Caenorhabditis elegans: one gene and its partners. The protein of the gene in region 3 purifies or fractionates together with the protein of the main gene of each other region. This does not show direct contact. Each region holds a gene or a part of one and is shown on either strand. Other genes may lie near its edges.

The links.
Region 1: the proteins of C48B6.2 (region 3) and mppa-1 fractionate together in Caenorhabditis elegans (co-fractionation; one large-scale study listed by BioGRID). This does not show direct contact.
Region 2: the proteins of C48B6.2 (region 3) and rpb-11 fractionate together in Caenorhabditis elegans (co-fractionation; one large-scale study listed by BioGRID). This does not show direct contact.
Region 4: the proteins of C48B6.2 (region 3) and Y75B8A.7 fractionate together in Caenorhabditis elegans (co-fractionation; one large-scale study listed by BioGRID). This does not show direct contact.

Annotation. Positions count from the first base shown.
Region 1 is NC_003279.8:1,746,165-1,754,349, forward strand, and holds the start of mppa-1 (Mitochondrial-processing peptidase subunit alpha), read right to left. Parts: upstream 4,892-8,185; coding exon 4,571-4,891; intron 2,532-4,570; coding exon 2,123-2,531; intron 1-2,122. Other genes in the region: Y71G12B.10 (hydroxymethylglutaryl-CoA lyase), read left to right, coding at 5,329-5,421, 5,483-5,695, 6,440-6,773, 7,835-8,151. UniProt on the Caenorhabditis elegans protein: Substrate recognition and binding subunit of the essential mitochondrial processing protease (MPP), which cleaves the mitochondrial sequence off newly imported precursors proteins.
Region 2 is NC_003280.10:14,057,137-14,063,375, reverse strand, and holds rpb-11 (putative DNA-directed RNA polymerase II subunit RPB11), read right to left. Parts: upstream 3,292-6,239; 5' UTR 3,287-3,291; coding exon 3,212-3,286; intron 3,164-3,211; coding exon 3,099-3,163; intron 3,044-3,098; coding exon 2,815-3,043; 3' UTR 2,752-2,814; downstream 1-2,751. Other genes in the region: W01G7.4 (putative RNA polymerase II nuclear localization protein SLC7A6OS), read right to left, coding at 898-967, 1,827-1,927, 2,001-2,291, 2,344-2,637. UniProt on the Caenorhabditis elegans protein: DNA-dependent RNA polymerase catalyzes the transcription of DNA into RNA using the four ribonucleoside triphosphates as substrates. Component of RNA polymerase II which synthesizes mRNA precursors and many functional non-coding RNAs.
Region 3 is NC_003279.8:6,915,172-6,921,403, reverse strand, and holds C48B6.2 (U3 small nucleolar ribonucleoprotein imp3), read right to left. Parts: upstream 4,639-6,232; 5' UTR 4,621-4,638; coding exon 4,517-4,620; intron 4,470-4,516; coding exon 4,415-4,469; intron 4,359-4,414; coding exon 4,221-4,358; intron 4,173-4,220; coding exon 3,918-4,172; 3' UTR 3,843-3,917; downstream 1-3,842. Other genes in the region: bbs-9 (Protein pthb1 homolog), read left to right, coding at 1-23, 197-383, 434-563, 613-700, 1,089-1,247, 1,289-1,436, 1,717-1,815, 1,868-1,999 and 6 more; haps-1 (Essential protein Yae1 N-terminal domain-containing protein), read right to left, coding at 5,444-5,530, 5,623-5,727, 5,832-6,062, 6,148-6,232. UniProt on the Caenorhabditis elegans protein: Component of the U3 small nucleolar ribonucleoprotein. Required for the early cleavages at sites A0, A1 and A2 during 18S ribosomal pre-RNA processing.
Region 4 is NC_003281.10:12,149,361-12,160,266, reverse strand, and holds Y75B8A.7 (U3 small nucleolar ribonucleoprotein MPP10), read right to left. Parts: upstream 7,369-10,906; 5' UTR 7,353-7,368; coding exon 7,282-7,352; intron 7,213-7,281; coding exon 7,032-7,212; intron 6,165-7,031; coding exon 5,730-6,164; intron 4,578-5,729; coding exon 4,420-4,577; intron 3,212-4,419; coding exon 2,862-3,211; intron 1,422-2,861; coding exon 670-1,421; 3' UTR 12-669; downstream 1-11.

The DNA of each region.
Region 1 (8,185 bases), 5.2 Mb from region 3:
TCAAAAAAATTAAAAATTATAACAGTTTTTCTAACTGTATACTACTTTTTTAAAATTGAAACAAATCGGAAAATTTTCAGAGGTTTAAAGTTCAATTTTTCCATATTTTTTCGATATTTTACTGTACTTACACTTACAGTACTGTAGGATTACTGTAGTTTCGGAAAAAATTGATTTTTTGTCTTCTGAAGCGGTTTTGTTTTTTGATTCGGTAGAGGGATATGGTCGGGACACTGTAGGGGTACTGTAGAGCTACTATAGGAGTACTGTAGGATTACTGTAGTTTTGGAAAAAAAAAAATGATTTTTTGTCTTTTGAAGAGATATTAGTTTCTGTTCAGTGGAGGGATATGGTCGGGGTACTGTAGGAGTACTGTAGGATTACTGTAGTTTTGGAAAAAAATTGATTTTTCTCTTTTGGAGGGATATGGGTTTCCGGTTAGTCGGGGGATAAGGTCGGGGTACTGTAGAGGTACTGTAGGATTACTGTAGTTTTGGAAAAAAAAATGATTTTTTGTCTTCTGAAGAGGTTTTGTATTTTGGTTGGTGTAGGGATATGGTCGGGGTACTGTAGGGGTACTGTAGGGGACCTGTAGGGGTACTGTAGGAGTACTGTAGGATTACTGTAGTTTTGGAAAAAAAAATTGATTTTTCTCTTTTGGAGGGATATGGGTTTCCGGTTAGTCGGGGGATAAGGTCGGGGTACTGTAGAGGTACTGTAGGATTACTGTAGTTTTGGAAAAAAAAATGATTTTTTGTCTTCTGAAGAGGTTTTGTATTTTGGTTGGTGTAGGGATATGGTCGGGGTACTGTAGGGGTACTGTAGGGGACCTGTAGGGGTACTGTAGGAGTACTGTAGGATTACTGTAGTTTTGGAAAAAAAAATTGATTTTTCTCTTTTGGAGGGATATGGGTTTCCGGTTGGTCGGGGGATAAGGTCGGGGTACTGTAGTAGTACTGTAGAGGTACTGTAGGATTACTGTAGTTTTGGAAAAAAAAATGGTTTTTTGTCTTCTGAAGAGGTTTTGTATTTTGGTTGGTGTAGGGATATGGTCGGGGTACTGTAGGGGTACTGTAGGGGACCTGTAGGGGTACTGTAGGAGTACTGTAGGATTACTGTAGTTTTGGAAAAAAAAATTGATTTTTCTCTTTTGGAGGGATATGGGTTTCCGGTTGGTCGGGGGATAAGGTCGGGGTACTGTAGTAGTACTGTAGGATTACTGTAGTTTTGGAAAAAAAAGAAGATTTTTTGTCTTCTGAAGCGGTTTTGTTTTTTGGTTCGGTAGAGGGATATCGTCGGGGCACTGTAGGGGTACTGTAGAGCTACTATAAGAGTACTGTAGGATTACTGTAGTTTTGGAAAAAAATTGATTTTTCTCTTTTGGAGGGATATGGGTTTCCGGTTAGTCGGGGGATAAGGTCGGGGTACTGTAGTAGTACTGTAGTAGTACTGTAGAGGTACTGTAGAGCTACTATAAGAGTACTGTAGGATTACTGTAGTTTTGGAAAAAATTGATTTTTCTCTTTTGGAGGGATATAGCTTTCCGGTTAGTCGGGGAATATGGTCGGGGTACTGTAGGGGTAACGTAGAGGTACTGTAGGAGTAGCTTTGGAAAAATTGATTTTTTGTCTTTTGAAGAGATATTGGTTTCGGTTCAGTGTAGGGATATGGTCGGGGTACTGTGGTAGTACTGTAAAGGTACTGTAGAATTACTGTAGTTTTGGAAAAAAAGACTTTTCGTCTTTTGAATGGATTTTGGCTTGGGTTCAGTGGAGGGATATGGTGGGGGTACTGTAGGAGTACTGTAGGATTATTGTAGTTTTGGAAAAAGTTGATTTTTTGTCTTTTGAAGCGGTTTTGTTTTTTGGTTAGTGGAGGGATATGGTCGGGGTACTGTAGGATTACTGTAAGTCAAGTACTGTAACTTTAAGGTTTTTACAGTACTTGTAAGGTACTGTAAGAATTTTTTAATTATAAAATTTTCCGAAAAGGTTTTTTTTTTGAAAAAGCTCAATTTTTCCATATTTTCTCTAATTTTCAACGGTTTTTTTTGTACATTTTTTTTGCGATTTTTCAACAAAAAAAAATCGAAACCTCTCCTCGTGAAGTACAACACAATTACCTCCAACAACCATTCTTTGAGGAGTATGAGCTCTGCTCAAAAACCCATAAACATCAGAAACTCGAATTTTATCCATCGAATTGTTGCCAAATTTCGGATATCCTATAGTATTATTCTGAAAAGCCGCTTGATGAATCCAGTCAGTAAGGAGAATTTCGATGGCTTCAATTCGATTCGGTAGATCTTGATTCTCGTAGGAAACTGTTAGTTTCGCCTGTTCGAGACTTTGTTCGTCAAAAATTGGCTTCCAAATAGTGTCGGATAGTACGTGAATTACAGAATCCACTCCGTCACGATGGCAGCTCGCCGCGTACATCATTGTGTCACGTGTACTCTGACAATCCACAATTCCACTGTTTTCCTCGAGTTTTGCAAAGACTTCGTCGCGGCTTGAGAACGATTCCGATGACTGGAAATTTTGCAATTTTTTTTGGGAAAAATTAGTTTTAACAAATTTTCGAGTTTCAAAAAAAAACTATTTTGGAAATTTTTAAAATTAAAAAAAACCTTACAATTAAAGGAGGACTAACGGTTCGGACGATTTTGAACGTATAGACCCAAAATGTTCTCAAATGAACGAATTTCGTGATGAAACTGCTCAAAAATTTTTCAAAAATTTTTTATGGCGGTTCAAAATTTCGAAAAAATTACACTGATTTTAGCTAAAATCTCGAATTTTGCCTATTTTTCGGTGTCACATCGGTCCGAAGTTGACTTTTTCGGAATTATCATCCTTTATTGCATATATTGGTAGTTTATCTCATTTAATTTTGTTGATTAAGGTACAATTAAAGCCGATCGGTAACCAATTTCGACGATTTTTGGTCACCTATCGGCTTTAAATGTACCTTAATCAACAAAATTAAATGAGATAAACTACCAATATATGCAATAAAGGATGATAATTCCGAAAAAGTCAACTTCGGACTGATGTGACACCGAAAAATAGGCAAAATTCGAGATTTTAGCTAAAATCAGTGTAATTTTTTCGAAATTTTGAACCGCCATAAAAAATTTTATCCGTTAGTCCACCTTTAAGTTATTCTTGAAACTATATATATATGATATATACTATGTATACTGGATATATAGTATGTATATATATTATGTATATAACGAATTTTTCCTAAACTACCGTAACCCTACAGTACTCCTACCGTACCACTATTGTACTACTACAGTAACCCGACTATATATGTTTCAAGAATTTCTTAATTGTAAGGGTTTTTTTTTGAAACATTTCAATTTTTCCGTATTTTCAGATATTTTCTCATGGATATATATATATATATATTTATTTATTTTTGTGAAAAATTAGTTTTTTATTGGAAATTTTTGGTTTGTGGGGGCAAATTTGGCTCTGTAGGGTTTTTTTTTCGAAAAAATTACAAAACTTGAGTTTTCTCGGGTCATTTTTGGATTAATTTTTACCCCCGTTCTCCAAAAAACAAAAACACCCAAAAAATGCGTAGAAATTCAAAATTTTCTTTTCAAAAAATTAAACTTCAAAAACAGAAATTTGCAACAAAAATTTTAGAAAAAAATAGGAATTTCTACTGAAAAAACTAAATTTTCCAAAAAAATAACTTTTAAAAAACTTGGTTGAGTAGCGAAATCTGTGGAAATATTTTTAATTTACTCCAAATTTTCCCCTGATTCCGAATATCTATGTGAAAAAAATTAAAATTCAAAAAAATTCCCCTGATTTTATATTGAAGCTTGAAATCGCCGAATTTCATTTGTACTTCGAAAACACTTTTTTAAATTCGCGCCCAAAAATATTCGCATGGAGCGCGCTTTGATTTTCTTCATTTGAATATTTTCTTCATTTTTCGCCGAGTTCAGTTTTTTTAAAAACCAGTTTCATTAATTTTTGTCGAATCTGTATCGGTTTTTCTAAGAAAAAATATTTTTCGACAAAAATTAATGAAACTGGTTTTTAAAAAAACTGAACTCGGCGAAAAATAAATAAATTATTTAAATGAAGACAATCAAAGCGCGCTCCAATGCGAATATTTTTGGGCGCGAATTTAAAAAAAGTGTTTCCGAGGTACAAATGAAATTCGGCGATTTCAAGCTTAAATATAAAATCAGGGAAATTTTTTTGAATTTTTTCACATTGATATTCGGAATCAGGGGAAAATTTGGAGTCAATTAAAAATATTTCCACAGATTTTGGTACTCAACCAAGTTTTTAAAAAGTTATTTTTTTGAAAATTTAGCTTTTTCAGTAGAAATTCCTGTTTTTTTTTAAATTTTTGTTGCAAATTTCTGTTTTAAGTTTGTTTTTTAACGTATTTTTTGAGTTTTATTGGTTTTTGGAGAACGGGTAAAAATTAATCCGAAACTGGCCCGAGAAAACTCAAATTTCGTCATTTTTTCCCGATTTGCATCATATTTTTCTCTAATTTTTCCAATTTTCCATAATTTTTCCTATCAAAAGCCTACATTATAAGCAAGTTTCTCCACAATTCTCGAAATTCCAAACGGAAAACCATTTTCATAGCGGCAGCCGCTCTCAATCGCGACGCCAACAGTCACAAAATCGCCGTAAGTGTCTTCTGTGCAAACTTTCAGGCCGTTCGGAAGTCTAGTAACCCTCGAGTTTCTTCCCATTGGCGGGCATCCTTTTTCTATTGATTTGGAGTTGTTTTCCATTGGCAGAGGCACGGAGAGCGGGAGTTTCTGCGCAATTTCCTTGTTATTTCGGACGGAAGCGCTTATATCTCGGCATATTTTGATGTAGGGGATGCTTTTCCGAAGGAGCATCTGAAAATTTAATGTATTTTTGATAAATTTCGAGTAAAAAACTGAAAAAATCGAGAAAAATAAATAAAAAATGATTAAATAAATAAATGTGTGCAATTTGTCGTCAAATGTGGTGTGCGGTGTTTGCGGACTTTTGGGATTCGAATAAAAATTATTTATTTTTTATCTATTTTTTATGTTTTTCTTTGATTTTTCTTTGATTTTTAGCTGAAATTATTGGATTTTTATTGATTTTTATTGTTTAAACGATAAATATTGATACTTTACAGTAAAAAACCGCAGAAAATATCGAAAAATCTCAATAATTTTTTTCTTTTAGTTTCTCATTGTTTCCATCAGTTTTTAGGAGCAATTCATATGTTTTCTTCTGCTTTACCGCTCGAATTTTAATGTTTATGGAGAAAACCTTATTTTTATATTTTTAGGCGCGCTAAAAAATGCTGCCCAATCGCCTACTGGCCAACCGTGCCTACTCCACAGCAATAAATCGATTTCGTGTGGTGGAAGTTGGCGCGCGAGACGGTTTACAGGTAATTTATCCTGGAAAATTGCAAAATAATTGCAAAAAATCCATTATTTTCTTAATTTCAGGCCGAAAAGAAGTTCGTTCCCACCGAAATCAAGGTCGAGCTCATCGATCGGCTCTCAGAGTGCGGATTTCAAACGGTAGAGACGACAAGCTTCGTCTCACCGAAATGGGTGCCCCAGTTGGCTGATCACAACGAAATTGTCAAGAAACATCGGAGATTTGAAGGTGTCTCCTACCCGGTTCTGGTTCCAAACGCCGCTGGCCTCAAAAACGCGGTATTTTATTGATTTTTTAGGGCTTAAAGGTGGAGTAGCGCTAGTGGGGATGACCGAATATCATAGTAAAAAAATTCAAAAAATTTTTCTAAATTTTATATGATTTTTTGAAAATTGAAAAAATCTCAGTTTTTGCCTAATTCCTATTTGAATTTCCGCCAATTGGATTTGTTCGATGGAGCGCGCTTGCACGTTTTTAAATTTATTTATTTTTGTTATTTTCCACCAATTTTTAATGTTTTCGGTGTATTTTTGCTCGAATTTTAGAGAAAAAGCCAAGATAAATGCAAATTTTCGATTAAAAAGCACGCTGACAGGCGTAAAAATGACAAAGTAACGCTTTTAAATGATTTCGAACCTGAATTAATTAATTTCACTGATTTACGCCTGTCAGCGTGCTTTTTAATCGAAAATTTGAATTTATCTTGGCTTTTTCTCTAAAATTCGAGCAAAAATACACTGAAAACATTAAAAATCGGTGGAAAATAACAAAAAATAAAATAAATAAATTTAAAAACGTGCAAGCGCGCTCCATCGAACAAATCCAATTGGCGGAAATTCAAATAGGAATTAGGCAAAAACTGAGATTTTTTCAATTTTCAAAAAATCATATAAAATTTTGAAATTTTTTTAAAAATTTTTAATCATGATATTCGGTCATTGTGGTACCATAGGCATGTTTTAAAGCAATTTCCCCACTAGCGCTACTCCACCTTTAAAATTGCAAATTTCTCAAGTTTCCAGCTCGCAACAGGAGTCGTCGAAGAGATTGCCGTATTTGGAGCAGCTTCAGACGCGTTTTCACTGAAAAATGTGAATTCCAATGTGGAAGATAGTCTGAAAAAGCTCATGGAAGTCACAAAAATCGCCCTCGAGAACAATATTCGAGTACGTGGCTACGTTTCAGTCGTCGTTGGATGCCCGTATCAGGGAGCTGTACAGCCGGAAATGGTGGCCAGAGTCGCCGAGAAGCTTCTAGAATCTGGGTGTTATGAGGTCTCGCTGGGCGACACTATTGGCGTTGGAACAGTGAAAACTGTGTCGAAAATGCTGGATACGGTGCTGAAAAGTGTGCCAGGTAGCGGATTTTTTTAAATATTTTATATTAAAATTTCGATTTTTCGAGTGAAAAACTACAAAAAAAGTAGTTTCCCGCAGTTTTCCCGGCTTTTTTCGCATGAAAACCAATCGATTTCAGTCAAATAACTCACGAAACGATAAAAATCTCAATTTTCGTTGCGAGACCCACAATCTGTGGAGAAATTGACCGAATATCGTGATAAAAAAATTCAAAATTTTTTTCTAGACTATATGATTTTTTTTTGAAAATTGAAAAATCTCAGTTTTTACATAATTATATTTGAATTTTCGCCTATTGGATTTGACCGATGGAGCGCGCTTGCATTATTTTAATCAATTAATTTTATTTATTCTCATTATTCGACTGATTTTCTTCTTTTCTGTTTTTTTTTTGTTGGAAAATGAAAGAAATAAAAAAGACAGATGCAAAATTTTTGTTAAAAAATAACTGAAAATGCCTTAAACTGTAATTTTTTTTGAATTCTGACGACGACAAACCTGAAATTAGTATATTTCACAGTTTTACAAAATATATTTTTATTTATAAAACTGTAAAATATACTAATTTCAGGCTTGCCGTCGTCAGAATTCAAAAAAAATACAGTTTTAGGCATTTTCAGTTACTTTTTAACAAACATTTTGCATATGTCTTTTTTATTTCTTTCATTTTCCAACAAAAAAAAACAGAAGAAATGAAGAAATTCAGTCGAATAATGAGAATAAATAAAATTAATTAATTCCAATAATGCAAGCGCGCTCCATCGGTCAAATCCGATTGGCGGTAATTCAAATAGGAATTAGGGGAAAACTGAGATTTTTTCAATTATCAAAAAAAAATCTTATAAAATCTAGAAAAAATTTTTTGAATTTTTTTATCATGATATTCGGTCAATTTCCCCACAGATTGTGGGTCTCGCAGCGAAAATTGAGATTTTTATCGTTTTTTGAGTTATTTCAATGAAAAATCGATTGATTTTCAGGCGAAAAAAGTCGGGAAAACTGTGAAAAAAAATTATTTTCGAAAGAAAAAAAAATTTCAAAAAATCACCACCATTTCAGCCGAAAAACTCGCAGTTCATTTCCACGACACATACGGTCAAGCTCTCGCAAATGTGCTCATTTCCATCGAAAAAGGCATCCGAAGTGCGGATTCAAGTATCGCAGGGCTCGGTGGTTGCCCATATGCGAAAGGAGCAACTGGAAATCTTGCAACTGAAGATTTATTGTATTTTTTGAAAGGAAACGGTTTTGAAACTGGTGTCAATTTGGACAAAGTTGTCGAAACTGCAAAATGGTTTAATGAAGCCGCCGGATATGATAAATGGTCGAGAGTTGGAGCTGCAATGATGGCTAAAAAGAGCAAAAGCTGCTGCTGAAAATGTGTGCTGTAAAAAATTTAAAAAAATTTTT
Region 2 (6,239 bases), on a different chromosome or scaffold from region 3:
CGAAGGTTGTGAAATTTGAACCAAATGCGGCGGGAAATGTCAGTGGAGCGCGCTTGCGAGGAGGCGGTGCGGGATGAACACCACCATGGACGCAAAAACTACAGAATATCTCACCGGAAATTAAGATTTACTTCTAAAAAACTAAACTTTTAAAAAAGAAATTGTTATTTTAATTTTTAATAAAACCAAAATAAACCTAAAATGTGCTAAAACAAAAAACTTTGCCTGCGGATTCTGTTTCTTCAAAAACTTCGTGGTGTCGCAAGTTCGTGGTGTCTCTCGAAAATAAATTCTGATATTCGGAATTTCCGCGGAGGAAATCCTCTGCGAGTCTCGATTTTTCAGGTTTTTCCTTGAATATTCAGGGTAAATTCATCAAATTTTTAAAAAAATCGATAAATTTTGCTCAGTAAAATTGAGTAAAAACCTTTTATTGAATGAAAAATTTTTAAAAATTACAACAAAAAAAATTATTTAAGCTCAGTGCAGTTGCCCGATGAGCTGAAAGCCAAGTAATTCAGCTTTGCAATGCTATGAATCAGCCTGGAAGATTCGATTTCTCGTGATTTCGGTCGTTTTCTGAAATTTCTTTGTGCTTTCCGAGGTATTTCTCGATTTCTCACGTTGTACCGACGCCTGAGAAACTTGAAAAACGACGCAAAGGAACTTGAAAAAGTTCTCAATATTGTGAAAAACGTCGCGTTTTCCGCTTTCCGAAGAAGCTTCAACAAGCAGAAAAAAGGCGAGAAATAGCACAAATAAGGTCTTCATGATACGAATTTCAGAGTTGTGAATGAATGAATGAAAATGAATGAAAAATTGAAAATATGTGTGTGTGTGAGTTACTGATAAGTAAGCTTGAACACTGAAAAAACAAAAAAAAGGCGAAAAACAGTATTAATCGGCGTCTTCGTCAGTCTCGTCACCCTCATAAAATGCTTCGTAGCGTTCGTCGTTCAGGTCCATGCTGAAAAATGATAGAATTTTCAGAATTTCCATCTAAAAATTGAAAACCGCCACATTTTATCACCAAAAAGTTGTACTTTTCAGAATTTTTCAGGTTGAAATAGCTAATTTTCAAGTTTTTAATAATTAAATTGATGAAAATTACTTGAAAGTTAGTAAAAATAAGCGATTTTAGTCGGAATTTTCAAAAAATTGGAGGAAAACCGGGGTTTTGTGGCCGAATTTTCAAACTTTCACATGTAAATTTTCAATTTTTAGCATCAAAATTGGCAAAATCAGTTGAAATTTGCGCAATTTAATGGAAAAACTAGATCAAAACCGCATTATTTCCAGAGAAATGAGCTATTTTAGTGGGAAAATTGAATTTTTAGCCGATTTTTAAGAAATTGACAGGGAGAAATAGCTAATTTCAACTAAAAATTTTCAGGTTTCAACCACAAATTCACTACATTTAGCTGAAATTTGAGAACTTTAATGGAAAAACTACATCAAAGCCGCATTTTTTCCAGAGAAATGAGCGATTTTAGTGGAGAAATAGGATTTTTAGAGACGATTTTCCAGAAATTTACAGTGAAAAATAGATAATTTCAGCTAAATTTTCAGGTTTCAACTACAAATTATGGAAAAATACATCAAAGCCGCTTTTTTTTCCAGAGAAATGAGCAATTTTAACCGGAATTTTCGAGTTTTTCGCAAAAAAAAAAAAGGAAAATAGAATTTTTAGCCGATTTTTCAGAAATTTACGAGGAAAAATAGCTAAATTCAATACTTTTAGCTAAAATTTAAGCATTTTTGTGAAAATTGCCTCAATTTCCAGGTTTTAAGCCGTAATTTCAGCGCAATAATCCAATTTTACACACTTTTGAAGCCGTCTGTGGAAGCTTTCGTCGGAGTATGCCTCCTCGCCGGCGTGCCAATGGTCGGGCTCCGATATTCCGTACGGATCCCCATTGTCGCTGTCCTGAAAATCAACATTTTCATCTGGGGATTTGAAGATTTTCAATGGAAAATTCACAGAATTCAGCAGCTCCAACCTCATCATAGGATTCCTCATCGGGATAGTCATTCCGCCAGTTATCCTCATCATTCGAATCGTCTTCATCATCAGCCGGCGGCCCATCGGAGTCATCTTCGTCGCCCAAATCCAGCTCATCACGCTTGGCGAACCGAAAATCGGCTCCCTCGATGTCCTGCTCCAGGTTTCCCACTACTTCTGGGTTGCCCCGTTTCTCGTGTATCGCGTAGTAGTCGTATACGACGTCGTCACTGCTGCCGGCGGCGGCGCCGCCGCCGTCGGTGACGGGCTGTAGTAGGCGGCCGTTGAGCTGGAAATACAATTTTTGCGCGCTCCACGGGCTCCGTGAGCTCAGCGCTCACCGAAACTTGCTCCGCCGGCTTTTTAACGTTCTTCTCGACCTCTCCAACGAGCCCGACGGCTTCATCCTTCACAAATCCTAGTGGATTTTCCTCGTCAGCCAACTCCATCCCATGTTCCTGAGTTGGAAGATCCAGCACACGGGCTCCATTGAGCTCCAGATCGTTGCCGGCGGCCTTGTAAAGCGTGAAAACCAGCGGATTGCCGCCGTGTTTTGCACGTTTGGTGTGCAGAATCAGAGCATCGTGGGGATCTGCGGTTCGCTTCCGGCTCACACGGATTAGTGGCGCGGTCATCTGAGGGAAATTGAGGGAAATGGGGGCGCTTTTGGGGGAATTTTAGTGTTTCAAAAAATAAAAAATGGGCAAAAACCCAGAAAATTCGAGAAAAAAAACGCAGAAAAAAGCGAAAAAAGCGTAATTTAAAATTTATAAAAGTTCAGAGTAAGAGATCAGTAAGGAAAAAGTGAAAAATCAGTTATATCCACGCTCCTGGTCGCCGGATTGAGTGCACTTTTTGATGGCCGCGTCGATTCGATGCTCGAGCAACGAGAGTTCTCCCACCAAATCGGTTATGGCCGTTGTGAGAGCATCAGCTGGCGTCGTATTGTTGGTTGTCTGGATTCGGAGCAAGATCTTGTGCTCCAACGGGTGAGGGTTCTTGTAGCCGGCGAACAGCACCTCTGGGTCCTTGAGAAGTTGGCTGGAAATTTGAGGAATTAAATCGAAAATCTTCGAAATTATGCGGGTTTTCTAACATTTTCAGCATATTTCCCAGCGTGTGATCCTCCTTCATGATTGTGAAGATCGCCGCATTTGGAACCTAGGAAAATTAATTTTATCATTTCGTTTTGAGTATCATTTTTCTCACCTTTGTGTCTTTTTCAATGTAGAATTTCTTGTCGTCGAGAAGCAAAAATGATTCGAAAGCAGCTGGCGCATTCATTTTTGCTGAAAATTTAGAAAATTGAATATGAAATCCAAAGAAAAATTAAAAAATAGTTTTAAAATTAAAATAATTCAAACTTCGAAAATCAAAGATAGCGCAAGGATGACTGCTAGCGCATTCTCGGTGCCCTTGACGCAATTCTCGTTTTGCGCGGTGATTCAAATGTGAATTCCCGATGATTGCACCAAACTCCGCACAAAATGGACTATTTGCTATTTCCGCGAAATCAAAAAAGCAATGTCATTAAATCTGAGAAGCAAGAAGCAATAGTCGGAGCGTTCTCTGTCTCCTTCACAAATTTTTCCCCCGATTTTCAATGTTTGTATACGTTTTCGTGCAATATATACTTTATCTATTTGTTTGTGAAGTTTTGGCTTCTGGAGGGATAGTGAGTTAGGGTTAGTGTAGGGATATAGTCGAGCTACTGTAGTGGTACAATAGTGGTACGGTAGGAATACTGTAGGGTTACGGTAGTTTCATAAAAAATTAATTTTCAGCCCCAGAAGTCGGGGGCCGCGCCGGAGGTGCGGTCCACGGCTGGTTAATTATATATTAATTGTATTTCAAGCTCAGAATTTCTAAAGTACAATAGAGCGCGCTTGCAAATTTGGCCAAAAAATTTAACATTCACAGAGAAAATATGGCCATTATAAGACTAGTTTAAAAAAAGAAAAAAGAGTTTTTTAGAAGTTTGCAGTTTTTTTCAACATGAGGTAGCAATCGCGCTCGGCCGCACAACTGCAGTTGCAGCTGTCCCCTCATAAAAAAGCGTCTTCAAATGTTTCTTTAAAGTATCATTTGAATGGGGGACAAAAAACGAGGAGAACCCCGACAAAAATCAACAAACCAAATGAAAAATATTTAGTCTGACCAGGTGGTGGCTCGCCGAGCCCTAAAAATAGTGCGCACTTGTCAATAAAATTGTAGGTTTAGACAGTTTCATTTATAGAGAGCTTACCCGGAAGTTGAAAGTCGGTATTTTGGGCGAAAAAAGTTCAAAGGCTACATTCAAAAATTTGAATTCCCGCGCGATCAGAGGTAGGCAGTAGGCGTCGCTGATTGGTTCCCCGAGTTTTGGTGTGTTTTTGCTAGAATCGTTGCGTTTTTTACCATAAAAATTTGAGGAGTTGAACTAGTTTGGTAGGCAGGCGCGTGGGCAGGCAGGCGCGTAGGCAGGCGCGTAGGCAGGCAGTCATTTTCTGAGCCTACCTGCTAGTCTAAACGGTAGGCAATTCAGACGCAAAACACAAACAAACCATTTGAACAAAAGCAAAAAAACCGCGACTCCCCCCTTAGTACTCTAAAAATAGTACCGGCCAAGTACACATAGTAACTAAATATAGAATCAGCTACTACTCTCGATTAAGTTGACACACACACACACACACGCACACGATTGATATAACCCATTCCTCAGCCTTAAAATACTTTGACTAACCAGTTTGGTGACCATTTCTCGTACTGGTTTCCTTCAAAATTTATAGTTTTTTTGGTGAAAAAATTACTATAGGAGTACTGTAGGATTACTGTAGTATTGGAAAAAATGAGTTTTTGTTTTTTTAAGGGACATTGGTTTGGGGTTGGTAGAGGGATACGGTCAAGGTACTGTAGTAGTACTGTAGAGGTACTATTGGAGTACTGTAATGGTACCGTAGAAGTACTGTAGGATTACTGTATTTTTGTAGATCCTGTTTTTCATTTTTGAAGGGAAATTGGGTTCGGGTAAGTGGAAGTTAGTGCTAGGGTACAGTAGTGGTACAGTTCGGTACCGTAGGGCATTGTAGGATTACTATGGGAGTACGTAGTGGTACTGTAGGAGTACTGTAGGATTACTGTAGTTTTGGAAAAAACGAGTCTTTGTTTTTTGAAGGGATATCGGTTTAGGGTTGGTAGGGGGATACGGTCAGAGTACTGTAGCAGTATTGTAGAGAAACTATAGGGGTACTGTAATGGTACCGTAGGGGTACTGTATTGTAGAGGTACTACAGGAGTACTGTAGGATTACTGTAGTTATAGAAAAATTGACTTTTCGTCTTTTGAAAGGGTATTGGTTTGTGGTTTGTAGAGGGATACGGTCCGGGTATTGTAGTAGTACTGTAGAGGTACTAAAGTCGTATTGTAATAACACTGTAGTAATATTGTAGGGTTACTGTGGTAGTGTTGAAGGGGTACTATAGGGGTACTGTAGTAATACTGTAGTGGTGATGTATAGATACTGTAGGAGCGCTGTAGTGGTACTGTAATTCTGGGAAAATATAGTGTTTTCCTTTTTCTAGAATTCCAACATTTTGGAAACTTTGTGGAAACTTTTTTAAAAAAATCGAGAAAAATAGGGAAAATTTTGAAAATTTTTAAAGAATTCTAGAAAATTCTGGAAAAGTCTGAAAAAATTTGAAAAGCTTCAAAAACTTCAGAAATTAATTCTGGAAAGTTCTAGAAATTTCTAGAAACTTGCCAAAGTTTTGAAAAACTTGCAGAATTGTGTCCCAACTTTAAGACAGTATATCTCGGTTGTCTTTGACATTACCAAAAATTTACCAATTAACAATACACACGTAATAATGTGTTCTTTAACTTTGTAGGTTAACTTTTTTCGATATCTCTGAAACCTAGCGAGTTGTAAAGTCAGAAGTCACCAAAGGATGCCTTCAAGGAGAATAGACCACAGCTACTTTTCTGCTGTTTTGTAATAAAAAGACCTTCTACTTTTCAGAGAGAAAGTGTAAAACTGGATATAGTTTTGCAGATGATATGCCCTCACGGGGGGCGAAATCGAAATTAGACCTCACTTTGTATGTTTTGTTTTGAAGAATTCTGTATAGTATTTAATTTGGATTTGGTTTTGGACTTGTCGATGCACGTGTACTGTAGGATTACTGTAGTTTTGAAAAACATGAATTTTCGTTTTTTGAAAAGGTATTGGCTTGGTGCTCAGTGGAGGGTACTGTAG
Region 3 (6,232 bases):
GTGGATCGCAGAAAAAGATTAATGTAAGCTGTGGACTATTGAATATTTTTCGAATGTCCAATATCATCGGGAAACTAAAAAGTATTGAGTTAATTACAAATAATAAACCCAAGCTGTCGAATTTTGATAACGCTGAACATTTTTTCAAATATGCTGACTTTACACTGACAGTAAATTTGAGTCTTCTTTTTTTCAGTATGACTGGTCTTTTAATCTGGGTGATACTGCAATACAAATGAAAGTAACCGAAGGATCTAAACCAACAACCATTGTATTATGCCGCCGACACGTGTCTGCATTTAATGCAACTGGATCAGTTGTCTGGCAGATTCGTTTAGAAGCTGTTGGAATGGCAATGTGTCTTTATAGATCACTTCTGATTAGTAAGATTTCATATATTTTCAAACTTTTATTAATGTTTACTCTCAATCAGATAACACTCAATTCAATCGTTTAATAGTTTCAACATCTGACGATACATTGCTAATATTTCAAGATAATAAACTTGTATGGAACTGTAATGCTCAAATGTCACCAGTTGCACTATTAGTTTGCTCTTATAAGTTAGTTTTTGACATTTCTAGAATTAAAATAAGAATTTTAATATTTCAGCAAATCCTATGAGAATACCATTACAATGATGGCACCAGACGGTAAAGTTGTGGTTGGATATCTTGGAACCGAGCCAAATTTATATAGGGTGAGATTTTTTTTTGTATAGATGTGATATAGGGCCATTTATAATTTAAAATTATCAAGTATCAGGATAAATCATTTTTAGCTTTCGAAAATTATAGTTTTGGCAAAATGCCAAATTTTTGGAATATAAGAATCATACTTAAACTTTTTTTTTAATGTTTTACTTTCATTTTTGACTGTTTAAGAGTGGTCTTTAACAATTCTCACACTGGCGCTGCACAATCTTTTCTAATATGTATTCAGCTTTATCTTCGTTCAAATATTAATAGAATTAGACTTAAGATATAATATTCGAAATTAGTGTCAACTAGAAGTAATTTTAACAGATACAGTAGACCTATGGTAATTGAAACAAATCGGTCACTATTTTTATCGCAAAAAAATTACAGTTACCCGAGGACAAAGTGATAGTAAATTACGCGGAACGAATGGAAGAATATAAGAGAATGGAGCAAAAAATCAAGGAATCAGATGCAGCCGGTGGAGCTATCAAAAGAAAAGAAGGAATTCAAATGAAGCTGAGCATTGGAGAAATTGGTAAACGAACTGTAAGTTTGTTCATTGGAACATTATTCAAATATTAATTTAGATTGAGCCAAATGCTGCAAGCAATGCACCATACTGCAACCTTATTGTAGAATTCTCAGAAGTTCAAAATGTTTCTAAACTTCACATCAATATTCTATCGGAATGTGCTTCTCCATCCAAACAAGTAATTCTTAATGTGGGGACTTCAAGTAAGTTTTTATCATAAACTTTCGGTCTGGAACAAATTCGTTTATAACAATGTTCTACATTGAACTCTTGTTCCTAAGAACAAAAACAGTTATGGTAAATTTAAAAATTGAAAAAAAGTATTGGAAACGTTGATAGTGGAAAAATCTAAAAACATATAAAGTTGTAATTTTTGTTGCATAAATTTAATACTTTTCGAATCTACAGAAAGCGCAACTCAATTCAACATTTATTGAAAAAATTATTTTGTTCTGAAACTCTAATAATCCATTTACCTTTCAGAGTCCACTGCATCTATTGAAATTCCATTTTACGTCGGATCCAAAAAATCTCCAACTAGCAATAAAGTCACTATTGCAGCACATTGCGCATTCACCCAATGTAATTTCAGATTACTAACCGAATTAAAATAGTTCAATAACTTTATTTTTAGTAACAGTCACCAAATCAATCGATTTGCCATTCAAAGTATTGTTTGAGGAATCACAAATTGATAGAAATGCAAAATATAAAGTGACAATTGATACAGCTGGATCGGTTATGCCACTGAATAAATTATTTTCTGGTGAGCTATTTTTCCTTCATTCTGACAAAAGGCATAACTATTGTAATATAGAAAATTAATTAACATGTGCCAAGCAACTAACTTTTTTTGGAATACTTGTAGGACAAACGTTTTCAAAGTTATTTAAAATTTTTGAAGTGTTTATTAATGATATTAACGATGCTAGTATATAATGGACTATTATGAGTGATTTTCCAAAAATACCAGCGCTAACTAACGATAGTTTTGAGTGTTTAAGGTGCGATGTTTATAGAACTCAAATCTTAACAATGATTTTTAGAGTTCGAATCTGAAAATCCACAAGCAATTGGATTTTCTCTTCATGGCTCTGATAAGACAGTTTCAGTGTTTGCAGCCAACAAGTCAAGTAAGTTTCTTCCATTTCAATAAAGCATAGACAGGTATGCCTACGTACTTACCTTAAGCTTGCCTGCCCGAAGCCTATTTTATTAAATTTTTGGAATTTGGAATTTGTTCGATATTCCTTGTGCCCAGATGGAAAGCGTTAATTTGAAACTTCGAAGTACGAGGAGAATGAAATATTTCCAGATCGTTACCGTATTCAATCAGAACATATTTCATTATTACAAATAACATCAAGGGAATTGGTAAAACGAATTGCTGAATCAGCGCCGGGAATTGAAATTGGAGGAGTTATTCCATTTGAGTACATGAGAGAAACATTGGATGAAATTCAAGAGGTATTAAAGTTTTTTTAAGTAGAAGAAAAAATAATATCCTTCAAAAAATATTACAGCTTCAAACGAAGAAAAAGGAAGATTCAAAGAAAATTGACTGTCGAACAAAAGAAGTTCGAGCAATTGAAGCATTATCTTTGAATTCGTGTAAAACTGGAAATATGGGAAATTTGCCTTCTTTGGATGCACTGTTTGATAAATCATATAGAGAAGTAATGGAAATCGTGAATAATTTGAAATTAATTTATGGGAGTTTTGCAGCTTCTCGATGCAATGGATAGTTACAATAGTTTAACTGCAAAAATTGAAAATCAAAAGGCTTCATTGAGTAAGTAGTAAGTAGGTTGTTCTTAGTTGTCTCACGAGAACTTTTCAGACTCATTATTCCAATTGGCAGCAGATTTGTCAAAACTTTCAAAAGTGGATACTATTTTAAATGGATCTTTCTGGGCAAATACTCAACAGGTAACTTTTTTATATTTAGTTTAAGTTTAATAAAGAAACCGACAAAACTAACCAACAAATGTGCAGAGCTTATCCTGCTTAAAAATTATATAAACATTGTAAACTCAAAATAAATGATAAATGCCGAGAAAATCAAAAAAAGACTGTAACGAAAATAACTTTATTCAAAGAACGAGTATATTAAAGTCGATTAAAATTGTTACAAAGCAGAACCCAGAATGCCACAGTGGTATGGTGTAAACTCTTTTGAGCAATAGATGTCTAATCGCGCCGAGACCTGGTACCGTACTTTTTCGTCAAATCTTTTTTACAACTGTATAATAACTAATTTTTTATTAATTAAAGTCTCTACGAGATCGCCTTCGATGGGCTGTGAAAACAGATCGTGGAAATGAAATGACAATGATTGAGAAACTATGTGAACACTCGCCAAAGGAATTACCAAAAATTAGAGAAGAAGAGGAAGAGGAAGAGCAACAAGTGACAGCTTAATTAATTTAAAGAAGAACATATTTAAGTAATTTAATGAAGATTTCTATTTTTATAGTTTTTCTATTAAACATGAATTCATTTTCATGTCGACTTCAAGCTCTACATTTCGCTGCGAGACCCGCCTTTTTGAATGAAATTTCAAAAGCTTTTGTAAGTTTGTGAATATTTTTATACATTTTAGAATTCAATAACATCTGAAAATGTTTATTGATAACAACGAGAACAACAACAGCAACAAATCAAAATTTAAAAACAAACAAAAATTAATCCATGAGATCGAAATCGTCTCGAGTATTATTATAATCCATGACGTGTTTCTTGATTTTCGAAGCTTTCGTCCATGTGATCATATCTTCAGACGATCGTGTAACCATAAATGCTGGATCGGTAACCAGTTTCGTTCCGATTCGAACGTGTCCCTGCTCCACGAGATCTGACGCAGTTTTGACTGATTCACACATTCCAATATTTCTCATCACGACTGGAAGACGACGACGAGCGAATGATGCTCCAGTCACCTAAAAATGTTTTATTTTGTGTAATTAAAATCGAAACAGGACAAAAACCTTTCCAATTCTTTCCAACGTATCACTAGTGGGCACAAGTCCAGCTGCGTAAAATTTGGTGAGCATATCCTCTGTGCATTTTGATCGGAAGGGATCCGATTCTGATAGGTTTTTGATAAGATCAGCTACTTCACGACTCTGGAAAATTTTCAAGATTAGAAATATTTATTTTTATCCGATTTTTGAACTGTAACCTTTGCAGCCAAAGTGTTGTACAAAGCGTAGTGCTCTCTTTTTTTCACATAGAATCTAAAAAATAAATATAAAACTCCAGAGCTATTATCATTTACACCAACTTTCTGAGCATATCTCCTTGTTTTCCTTGCTGATCGACTTGCCATGACATAAAGTCAGTCTTTTTAAGCAGCTTTTGCTCATGGGTTTTCAGTTTTCGCACCATTTTGTCGGGGTTTTTTGTCTGAAAGTCATATATTCTAACAAATAAGAAAAAAACTAAACTTTGAAGACGCTTATTTGACTAAATGTAGAATTATAAAGACAAGAATTCAATAAAATTATTTCCGTTTGGGTGAATTTAACAAGTATTCGGCTTGTGAACCATTTAAACCTGATTGCAAAAAATATAAAAATCAGAAATTTCATAGCTTCATTACAATTGGGAGGATTAATGAGAAACAACACTAGAAAAGAGAATAATATTGCATTAATGAAGACAGGAAAAATCGGAAATGGCGGTTTATTTACAAAATGATCGACGGTTGAAATCTACACAGAGAATGAAACCCTGAAACTTGCTAGAACTTGTAATAAGAAACAATTTAAAATTTCGCGAAAAAGAGAAGATCACTCCGAGTAAAGTATTCAAAAGTTTGAAAATCAACTGGAAATTCGAGAATTAAAGAGTATTTTGGAGGAGAGGGGAAGCGAGAGAGAAGAGAAAACCAGTACAGAAGTAAAAAAATCTGAGTAAAATTGAATTTGGGGTCAAAATTTATTTCCTTATTTTTGAAAACGAAAGCATTTTCAGGTTAGATAATAGATTTCTACTTATGCATTAGTACCATGAGATTCAAAAGACCCGATGCTTTCGAAATTTCCAAAAACAAGTAATAATAGCAGTGATTAAAAGGGATTTTCAGTCATTTTTGAGTTTTTAAGACCGGTGTCAAAGGCAACGTTTTTCAGTTTTCTTCTACTAGAAAAGAAGGGAAATTCTAATAAAAGAGATTGGAAAGTGAGAATTATGAGGATTTTTGAGAGATTTAAAGACGTCGTTGACGTTTCATTTGTGACGTTGGAGATGTCGTTGAGTTATTTGGTGATCGCTGACGTTTTCGGTGGCGTTGAACCTTTAAAAAAATAAGTGTGAAGCAGGAATTTTTACTTTTTTTGTCGTTTTTTTTGTATGTATTTTTCAAAGTTATAGATAAAATATGCTCACCTGACTAGCGAGAAACTCGTCCAAAGTGTCTGTCGTCTGTTCTCTAGTTGTCGGTGGCAATAGGCTCAATGTGCTCAGCGGTGGGACTTGCGGCTGGTTCAGTGCCTGAAAAACAAAAAAATAAATGAGAACCTCAACATAAAACTTTTCTTCGATTTTTCAGGGGTTTAAACAATATGTTAGATTTCAAAGCAAAAAAAAATGCTAACCTGCTGAAAAAGTTCAACCGCCGCTAAGGTGTCGGATGAGATTCCGTTTTGAGTATTGACGGTAAGTCGTTCCTCTCGCGGAATTGCCATATTTCTGTATAATACTTCGAGAACTATGTTCATATCAATTTTGGATGGATCTCGAAATGCTTGTAATATTTCCTTGGCAATACTCGTACAACCCGATGAAAATCCCTTCTCAAATCCTCGACGATAACTGTCAGTAGATGTCTGAAATTAAATTCATTTAAATTTTCTATTCGATTTAGAATTTTTTATATTAATCGATTTTCATGAAATTAAACAATTTCCTTACTTTGTACAACTGCGTGGTTCCCTCTGCAGCGCCTCTGAAATTTCTCCAAGAGGAGTCCGAATAGAGACGAGCCACAGCTTGAGCA
Region 4 (10,906 bases), on a different chromosome or scaffold from region 3:
TAACAATGAAAAAATATTACGGGGAACACAAAATTTTGAGAATGCGTATCGCACAACATATTTGACGCGCAAAATATCTCGTAGCGGCGAAATGACTACTGTGGTGTCGATTTACGGGATCTCGATTTTCGAAATGAATTTATTTTATATGCAAAAAATACTATTAAAAGTATAGTTATCGATCCTTGAATTTTGCAAAAAAAAAAAATTATTCTGTCGCACAGAAAGTAGGGCGGAGCGTCCACTGTTTTTTTTTGTTGATTTTTTCAATAAAGTTTCGATTTTACTATTATTTTATTTTTCTCTTTATCCAAAAAAAAAAGAAAGAAAAAGACTAGAAACTTCGAGAAAAAAAACAGTGGAAAAGGGGCGGAGACAAACCCCGTGCGGCAGCTACGCTCCGCCCTACATTCTGTGCGACAGAATAATTTTTTTTTTTGCAAAATTCAAGAATCGATAACTATACTTTTAATAGTATTTTTTTTGCATATAAAATAAATTCATTTTCGAAAATCGAGATCCCGTAAATCGACACTACAGTAGTCATTTCGCCGCTACGAGATATTTTGCGCGTCAAACATGATGCACAATTTTGAATTTTGTGTTTCAGTAATAGAAAAATAGAAAAATAAAAACAAAAAACAAAAAAAAAAACAAAATAATCGATTACTAAAGCTTAATAGCAGCCGAATTCTTATCACTCTTCAATCTCTTCACAATCTTCTTCTTCTTCTTCGTCACCGCTCCATCCTTCTTCTCAGCAGCCACCGTCTCCTGAAGCTTCGCAAAGAAGTTCGAGCTCTTAATCTTATCCACCCCGCCGCCCTTCTCCTTCCCAGCCTTCCTCTCCTTCTTGGCCAGCTTCACCGCCTTCTGCTCTCCGAAAACTCGCTCCTCGCCAAACTTTTCCAGCATCGACCTCTGCTTAGCCTTCTTCTGCCGACGTTCTCGTGCCTTATCAGTCGCGTCTCTCTCATCCTTGCTCTTTTCAATCGCCTTCATCTTCTTCGAAATCTCCTCTGGAGCCATAAGCTGAGCCTCCGTTGAAGCTGTAATTCCGACTTCTTCCACACGTAGAGCAGCCATATTTGAGACCACTTTCACCTCCTCGCGAGCTTGATCCGGTTTATACTCGAAATGAGTTAGCGCATCAATTAGCCGGAAGAGATCTCCCATCTTCGATTTTATAGCTTCATGAGCTTCATTCGGCTTCGTGGCTCCTGCTGCTCCATCTGCAGAATTTCCAGTCGAATTTTGATATTCCTTCTCATAAACCTCAGCCAAGGAAGTTTTCTGATTCATTTGATTCTCGATGGCTTCAGTTTCGAATTTGGCGCCTTTCGCTTCGACTTTTTTCACTCGAATCACATCATCCCAGGCTTTATCACGAATTCGTTGCTTGATAAGTGACTCGAGGCGGTCTGGAAAAAAACTCTATTTTTGCCTATTTTATGGCTGAAATTAAAAAAAAAAAAAAAAAAACGGAATTTTTAAGCTAAAATCTCGAAAATTTCCAATTTTTCCATGTCATATCAGCTATTTTTTGCCTATTTTATATTTGAAATTTAGAAAAAAATAAAATTTTGCGCATCGCACAGAAAAAGAGGCAGTTTTCGTCTTAAAATTTGAAAAAAAAAACGGCATTTTTAAGCTAAAGCCTCGAAATTTGCGAAAAAAATACTATTTTTTGCATATTTTATGGTTGAAATTTTACGAGCAATCCGTCGTGAATCAGCATCGCACAGAAAAATAGGCGAAGCCCCTAATTTTGCAACCCTGCGGCACGGTTTTAATTTTTTTAAATCAATTTTTGAATTTAATTATGTTATTTTCTTTTTCGAATGAAAATGCTATTATGAGGATATTAAAATTAACACCGGTCAAAAAAGGAGGAAAAACCGTGCGGCAAGGTTGCGAAATTAGGCTCCGCCTCTTTTTCTGTGCGACGGTTTCAAATCTCAAATTTCGCCAATTTTTCCGTGTTACGGAGGCTCTCTTTGCCTATTTTATGGTTGAAATTTGGCGATTTCCATTCGTAAATTTTACAAAAAGCAGCATTGTCGCACAGAAAATAGGCGGAGCCTAATTTCGCAACCCTGTGGCACGGTTTTCATTTTTTAAATCAATTTTTGAATTTAATTGTTTTATTTTCGTTTTTCGAAAGAAAATAAAACAAGTAAAATCGAAACTTCATTGGAAAAAAACCAACAAAAAGAAAGAGGAAAAACCGTGCGGCAAGGTTGCGAAATTAGGCTCCGCCTCTTTTTCTGTGTTAATTTTAATACAATTTTAATAAATTTGTTTATAAAATTTTTGCAACTTTTCAAAAAACTAATTTCCTGCCGAAAAAATTGTTTTATTCAAAACTTTGAAAAGAAAAAAATCGTGATTTTTCAATTTTCGAACTCCCCGACCAATCAGCACCTTCAAACTCCGCCCACTCCATCTGATTGGGCCAAAAATGGGCGGAGCAAATCGCTGATTGGTCGCAGTTTCAAAAGTTGGATTTTTTCGATTTTTTTGATAAAAAATCGCAAAATGACAACTCCCCGACCAATCAGCACCTTCAAACTCCGCCCACTCCATCTGATTGGTCCAAAAATGGGCGGAGCTAATCGCTGATTGGTCGCAGTTTCAAAAGTTGGATTTTCCCGATTTTTTTTGATAAAAAATCGCAAAATGACAACTCCCCGACCAATCATCACCTTCAAACTCCGCCCACTCCATCTGATTGGTCCAAAAATGGGCTGAGCTAATCGCTGATTGGTCGCAGTTTCAAAAAGTGAGATTTTCCCGATTTTTTTCGCTTTTCCCATAGTTTTTCTTCTAAAATTTCCAATTTCCAGCCATCATCAGCGTACCTGTAAACTCTTCGGTAACCTCTGGAGCACGTTTTGCTCCATGATCAAAATCCACATGCTTCTCCAGCAGGGTATTCTGATCTCTCTGATCGGCGGCAACCTCTCCGGAGAGCTCCCACGATTTTGGAGCCAAATTCTCCTCCTCAAGCTTAGCGATTCGTTCCTTCATCTTGGACTGACGCTTGGCAAACGCCGATTCTTCCTTCGGCTCTTCGAGGTCGGCTCCGAGGAGCACTGGCTCATCCTCTGGGGGCTCTTCTTCATCATTAATGTCTTCTTGCTCCTCGTCTTCAACTTCTTCTTCTTCAGGTTCCTCATCCATTGCGAAACGAACGCGTTTTTTGTTCTTTCTGGAAGAACATTTTTGAATTGAATTTTTCGCTTTAAAAATTTATTAAAAAATAGTCCTAAATTCGGAAAAATCACAAAAAAGGCGATTTTTTAAATTTGGATTTTAAAATTTCAAATTCCCCCCAAAATGAAAACTCCCCGACCAATCAGCGCCTTCAAACTCCGCCCACACACCCTGATTGGTGCAAAAGTGGGCGGAGCAAATCGCTGATTGGTCGTAGTTTCAGAAAGTTGGATTTTTCCGAGTTTTGCGAAAAATTCGCAAAATTAGCATTTCGACCAATCAGCTCCTTCAAACTCCTCCCACACACCCTGATTGGTGCAAAAAAGGGCGGAACAAATCGCTGATTGGTCGCAGACGGAATTTGATCAAAATTGGAAAAATCACGTTTTTAAAAATCGATTTTTTCACTTTTGTTTGGATTCCCCCAAAATGAAAACTCCCCGGCCAATCAGTGTCGTCGAACTCCGCCCACTTCGTCTGATTGGTCCAGAGATGGGCGGAGCGAGTCGCTGATTGGTCGATGAGTTCTCATTTGGAGGGAATTCAAAACATCGCGTTTTGCAACTTTTTTCGCAATTTTTTCGGCGTTCCTAGAAAAAAGATTGAAAATTGGGATTTTTAAATTTTTTTCACTTATTTTCGGCAATTTTACAATTTTGTCATGTTGCACCATGTGCTTCCAACGATTTTCATTGAAAAATAGTGTCAAATTGTAGAAAATCACTAAATTTATCCGGAAAATTACATTTATTTCAGCTAGAAAATTCGAAAAATATTTTTTGATTTTTTCAGCTGAAATAAACGTGATTTTTCGGATAAATTTAGTGATTTTCTACATTTTTACAGTATTTTTGGAGAAAAACGAAAAAAAAAATCGCAAAATAATGAAAAATCCATCAATTTTGGCGAAAAAAAAGTGAAAAAAAAATTTCAAATTTCCAAAAATTTAGAAATTTCTAAATATTTTCGGAAATTGCTGAATTTCTACATTTTTTGAAAACTAAAAAACGCAGATTTTCAATATTTTGGCCGAATTTTTTTCAAAATGAGACCGCGACCAATCAGCGATTCGCTCCGCCCACTTTCCAACCAATCAGGTGGAGTGGGCGGAGTTGAAGACGCTGATTGGTTGGGGGATTTTCTCGTTTTTTTCTGTGGTTTTCCGTTTTTTTCTCCAATTCCTCCAAACTACAAACTACAAACCCATCATCAAGTGATAAATCAGCTTTATCTCCAGCCTTCCGTTTCTTATCTTTTTCAATTTTTTTCTTCTCTCCATTCATTTTTTCGGTTTCAGCAACTGTCTCACGAGATCCAAAAAAGTCCTCATACGTGTAGTCGGTTTTTCCGTCCCAGCTATCCTGAAATTATTATTTTTTTTTTTTTTTAATTGAAATTTTGAAAAAAACACACACACACACACATTTTCTTAGGGAATTTTCATCGAGATTAATATATTATGGCAGCGAGGCGGTTTTTGAAAACTGAGGTGCAATCGCGCTCCATCGCTAATTGGCCTATTGGGTCTCGTTTGGAACAAGAAAATATGAAGTTTCCAACAACAAAAAATTGTGCAAAACCACAATTTGCCGATTTGCCGGAACTTTTCAATTCTGGCAATTTGCCGATTTGCCCAAAATTTTCATTTTCGGCAAATTGGCGGAAATTTCACAATTCCGCCAATTTACCGGTTTGCCGGATATTTAACAATTCCGGCGATTTGTCGATATGCCGGAACTTTTCAATTCTGGCAATTTACGATTTACCGGACATTTTGCAATTCCGGCAATTTGCCGATTTGCTGGAAATTTCAATTCCGGCAATTTACCGGTTTGCCGGATATTTAACAATTCCGGCAATTTGACAATTTGCCGGAACTTTTCAATTCTGGCAATTTGCCGATTTGCCCAAAATTTTCATTTTCGGCAAATTGGCGGAAATTTCACAAATCAGGCAATATGCCGATTTGCTGGAAATTTTCAATTCCGGCAAGTTGCCAATTTGCCGGAAATTTTAAAATTCCGGCAATTTGTCGATTTGCTGGAAATTTCAATTCCGGCAATTTACCGGTTTGCCGGATATTTAACAATTCCGGCAACTTGACAATTTGCCGGAACTTTCCAATTCTGGCAATTTGCCGATTTGGCCAAAATTTTCATTTTCGGCAATTGCCAATTTGCTGGAAATTTCCAATTATGCCGATTTGCCGGAAATTATCGATTCCGGCAATTTGCCGATTTGCCGGAAATTATCGATTCCGGCAATTTACCAATTTGCCGAAAATTTAACAATTCCGGCAATACTTGTGTTGTGTTGGCGTTGGAGCGCGATTGCACTCTAATTTCGAAATTACGAATTCTGGCCGGGAAAAAGGGGGGCGGAGTTTGCAATTTCTTCGCGCACTTTTTGTGGAAAAAAGTGTGTATTTTTAAAATTGTTTTTGGGCACTTTTTGGCACTTTTCGGCTCATAAAAATCCAAATTTTGCAGATTTTCAGCCATCCAGGTACATACTTCATCCTCAAACATCATTTCCTCATCCTGAGCGGCCTTTTTGCCTCCAGCTCTCTCAGTTTTTTGCAAAAAATCGTGCATCTCGTCAAGATTGAAAAACTGATCGTCCACAATGGATTTCTTGAATTTTTTCGGTTGTTCTGTGGCTTTTTCCACCTCCTCTTTCTCTTCTCCGGCTTCTTCTTCTTCCATTTTCTTCAAATCAGCGTCCAACGTCTTCAGATCACTCTCGCTTAAATTAAAAAGATCGGCTTCATCCTCATCGTCAATCATTTCATCCTCGAGCTCTTCATCTTCCAGCTCTTCCTCATCATCATCGAGCTCCTCTTCGGAGCCGCCATCGGAGCCATCAGAACCATCTTCCGAACCTTCAGAATCCTGAATTTTCGCCGCCACCCGAATATGCGATTTTCCAATCAACTCGGAAAGAAATCCCTGAAATTCGGAGCATTTTCAAGCAATTTTGAGGAAAAAAAAAGTGAAAAAAAACTCCAAAAAATAGCCTGAAATTCAGAAAAAAAAACTCGATTTTTTTCAAAAATTTTCAAAAAAAGTTCAATATTTTTGGAAATTTAGAAATTTTTCGGAAATTGCTAAAAATTTCTAGATTTTTTGAAAATTGTGGAATTTTTAGAAATTTTTTAGGACATTTTTTTCGGGATTTTTAGAAATTTTTTTCAAAAATCCCGAAAATTTAGTTTGAAATTTAAAAACGCAATTTTTTTCAAACTTGTTTGAATTCCCTCCAAAATAAGAATTGCCCGACCAATCAGCGCCTTCAAACTCCGCCCACTTCATTTGATTGGTTCAAAAGTGGGCGGAGCGAATCGCTGATTGGTCGAAGACGGAATTTAACCAAAATTGAAAAATCACGTTTTAAAAATCGATTTTTTAAAATTTTGTTGAATTCCCTTTAAAATAAGGACTGCACGACCAATCAGCGTCTTTGAGCTCCGCCCACTTCATCTGATTGGTTCAAAAATGGACGGAGCGAATCGTTGATTGGTCGGAAACGGAATTTAACCAAAATTCGAAAAAAAAATCGATTTTTTTTCGTTTTTCCTCCGTTTTTTGTACTGAACAATCAGCACCTTCGAACTCCGCCCCTTTCCTCTTATTGGTTCAAAAGTGGGCGGTGCTAATCGCTGATTGGTCGTTCTTCATTTTGGAGGGAATTGGAGGGAATTTCGCCAAAATTGAAAAATAGAACTTTAAAAATCGATTTTTTCGATTTTCTTCTGTGTTTTTTCGGAATTTAAGATTATTTTAGGATTTTTCGAGCAAAATCCCGCGAATAAGCACCTTATATTTCTTATTAATTCCATCTAATTGCTTATTCTGATGCTTCAGATAACTCCAAACGACTTCTTCGTTTTTCGAAACAAATGGAAGTGGAAGATTGTCTTCTGAAGGTTCCAGTGATGTCGACCATTCGTAGACATTCGAAATAACATCGGTTATTTGGTCGGAAAATTTTGATCGACTGAAAAATCAACATTTTATTGATTTTTTAAATTTTTTTTCTATATTTTTTTCGATTAATTATGCCAACCTTTTGAAAAACTTTGTGAAATCCCCGATTTCCGGGATCAAATCCTCCTTTTTTGACTTTGATTTCGTCATTTTTGCAGCGAATTACCTTAAAAATCGATAAATTCCCAAAAAAAAGTTTTACAACTTAAAACCACATAAAATAACGTTAAAAACACGAGAAATCTCAATTTTTACACGAAAATACTGGAAAAATCGTCAAAATAAGTGTAAAAACCAAAAAATTGGTTCAAAATTTCACCGAGAAATGGGAAAACGAGACAGCGGGGGTAAGTGAGAGGGCGAGAGACGACAAGAGTGCCAGAGAGGGGAGAAAAACGAATAATCCCGTTCATATTTGTACTTAGGGCATGGAAAACCTATAAAAGTGTCGGAAAATTGTAGAAAAAAGTGGAAAAATCAGCAGTTTTAAGGTTTTTTGGATTTTTTCTATGTATTGACGGCTTGGCTCCGATTTGAGAGTATTATTTTGGGATTTTCACAGATTTTAGGATTCAATTTAAGTAATTTCAAATTTTTATTAATTTAATCTTGAAAAAATAGCCTTTATCCGCAAGATTTTCGATCAATAAATGTGAAAAAATGGATTAAAAAAGGCGAAAAAAGCCAGAAGTTGAAAAGTGCAAACGCGCCCTGTTGATAAAACAGACAGTATAAAAATAGCGGGAAGTTCAAATTGAAGAATTTCCTTTAAAATGTGAATTTTTCTGAGAAAATTTAGTTTTTAACACAAAATAAAGCGAAATTTTATGAAATTTGTGTTCCCAGCGACTGAAAATATACCGAAATTTAGGATTAAACATGTAATAAACGAGCAAAATTGCCGAAAATTTCCATTTTCGACAAATTGCCGATTTGCCGTTTGCGAAAGTTTTTAAAGAGACTTTTAAAAAGACGGATCCACTTAAAACAAATAATGTTGAAATTCTGAAATTTCCAAAAATGTCAAAACCACAATTTTCTGCAATTGTCGTTTTTTCGGCAAATCGGCAAAATGCAATTTTTAATTCCGGGCAATTTGCGATTTGCCCGAAATTTTAATTTTCGGCAATTGCCAATTTGCCGGAAATTTTCAATTCTGGCAATGTGCCGATTTGCCGGAAATTTTAATTTTCGGAAATTGCCAATTGGCTGGAAATTTTCAACTCCGCCAATTTACCGGAAATTTTCAATTCCGGCAATTTGGCGATTCGCCGATATGCCGGAAAATTTTCAATTCCGGCAGTTTGCCAATTTGGCGGAAATTTTCAATTCCGGCGATTTGCCGATTTGCCAATTTTCCGGAAATTTTCAATTCCGGCAATTTGGCGATTCACCGATATGCCGGAAAATTTTCAATTCCGGCAATTTGCCAATTTAGCGGAAATTTTCAATTGCGGCAATTTGCCGATTTGCCAATTTTCCGGAAATTTTCAATTCCGGCAATTTGCCGATTTGTCAACTTGCCCAAATTTTTCATTTTCAGCAATTGCCGATTTGATGGAAATTTTCAATCCTGGCAATTTGCCGATTTGCCCGAAATTTTCATTTCCGGCAATTGCTGATTTGGTGAAAATTTCTCCAACTCTTCCAAGCTTCAACTTTTTTTTGCAGGAACATTGTTCATCTTCCTTTTCATGTTCGTGTCTTATATTGTTCTGTCCAGAGAGAGAGAGAGTGTCAACACGAAACTGTGTGCCCTGTTTGTATGTCACTATCCACCATCCACTCTATGAAAAAGAAGAAGAAGAAGTCAGGAGTCAAATTACTTTTTCTTGTTTCTCATATCTCAATTCAATTGTCAATTGTCCTGTTGAATATGCTATTGTTATTTGACAAGAAAAACGTGGATATGGTCAAAAATTCACGGATGTGTCTGGCTTCCCTCAGAAATTGAAATGGAAGAGTTTTTGCCGAACTAGGCCAGGCCATATCTGGGGGTAGATTTACGGCGCGTTGCGTGTCGCGTCGCGGCTCGATTGTAAAACTAAATGCACTTGTCCGTGTGGAGTACACGACTTTCCCATGTCCGGAGAGCGATTGTCAATGGAGCGCGAAAAAAATTCAATGAGGACGGCACGGTAGCACAGAAACTAGATGGATTGGTTCATGATACTCAGTCTGAAAACTATATTGGCTGCTATCTCGAAAACTAACCCCAAATTTGATTTTGCGATGCATATGAAAAATGATCGCAAAAAAATTCTCGATCTTTTCTATTAAGAAATTTTTTGATTGAAAATTTCCTAACCGGTCAAATTTGGGTTCGTTCGGTAGAGCGCGTTTGCACTCATCTAGCTGTTGTACCAAGGCCAGAACACCATGAGCATACCGCAAGGATTCTTAATTTTGCAAAATTCATGCCGCTGCATACTAGCATAGTAGCACGTAGTACCAGACTGTCCCATTACGGCTTGATCTACAAAAAATGCGGGAATTTTTTGTTGCCCAAAAAATGTGGCGTCAACACGTTATTAACCATGTGAAATCAGTTGTGAACTCTGTGTATCAACTCCCGCATTTTTTGTAGATCTACGCGGATTAAACCGAAAATGAGACACTCTGACACCAAGCCGACTACCGGAGCAACCGCTGGCGGGCCCGCAGGCCCTCTAGTCTATCGTTAACTTAAATCCTAAATAATTTGGTCCCCAAAACTCGAAAACTCTTTCTCAGATATGATGGAAGGAATTAGAGTATGTGTGTGTGTGTGTGTGTGTGTATGGGACAGTGAAAGGAGAGGCAAAGTTTGCCCCCTATTGTTTCCTCAATATACACTGCCTATTTGCAAAAGGGGAGAGAGGGCCGGGGGGTTTTTGAGCACAGAGAGAGAGAGAGAGAGACGCAGTACTGGTGAGCACCGGAGCACGGTACGCGGGGTGCTCAACTGGTTCGCCGGATTTCTCGGACAGTCACGTGGATCCACGAAGGGTTCAGTCAAAGAGCACCTTGAAATTATGGTAATATTCAAATATATTCAGATTTTAAGGAAAAAACAAACCAAAAACCAGTGATTTTGGATAGAACAACTCTCACCACTACACCAACCACTTCCAGTGTTTACCCAATTGATTTACCCTTCTCAACGTTCTCAATATTTACAACAACTCACCTCAAAGACTGTACTTTTCCTCTTCTTCTCGATCCCTTACCTTCCATCCACTCCCCAATTTTCCCTTGACATCCCCCCTGACTATCTTCTTTTATGAGCAACCTTGAGAATTATGATTCATTGTGAGTAGGACCCCCCACGTACTATTATAACCCACTATTTTCTCAGAGAGACAGAGAGGAAGTGTACCTACTTTTTGGAACCAACCTGTCCATTTTAATGAGAAGTCGGTGTGGGTGACCCTGTGTTGTGCAGAAATTAATTTTAGGATCAATTGTTGTTACATATTATATTGAAGTATTAGATTGTAATAATAAAATATTTTGGAATTTTTTTTTGGAAGTCGTCGATGATTTAGATTTTTCGAAAAATGGAGCAAATTCACTAGTCAGTTTTCCCTATTTTTAGACTCGAAATTGAAAAATTACCACAATTTTTTTCACGTTATGTTATGATATTTAGTCGTTTTATCGTTTTATAAAGGGAAATCAAAATTCTATGAATGCGTATTGCGCATCATATTTGACGCGCAAAA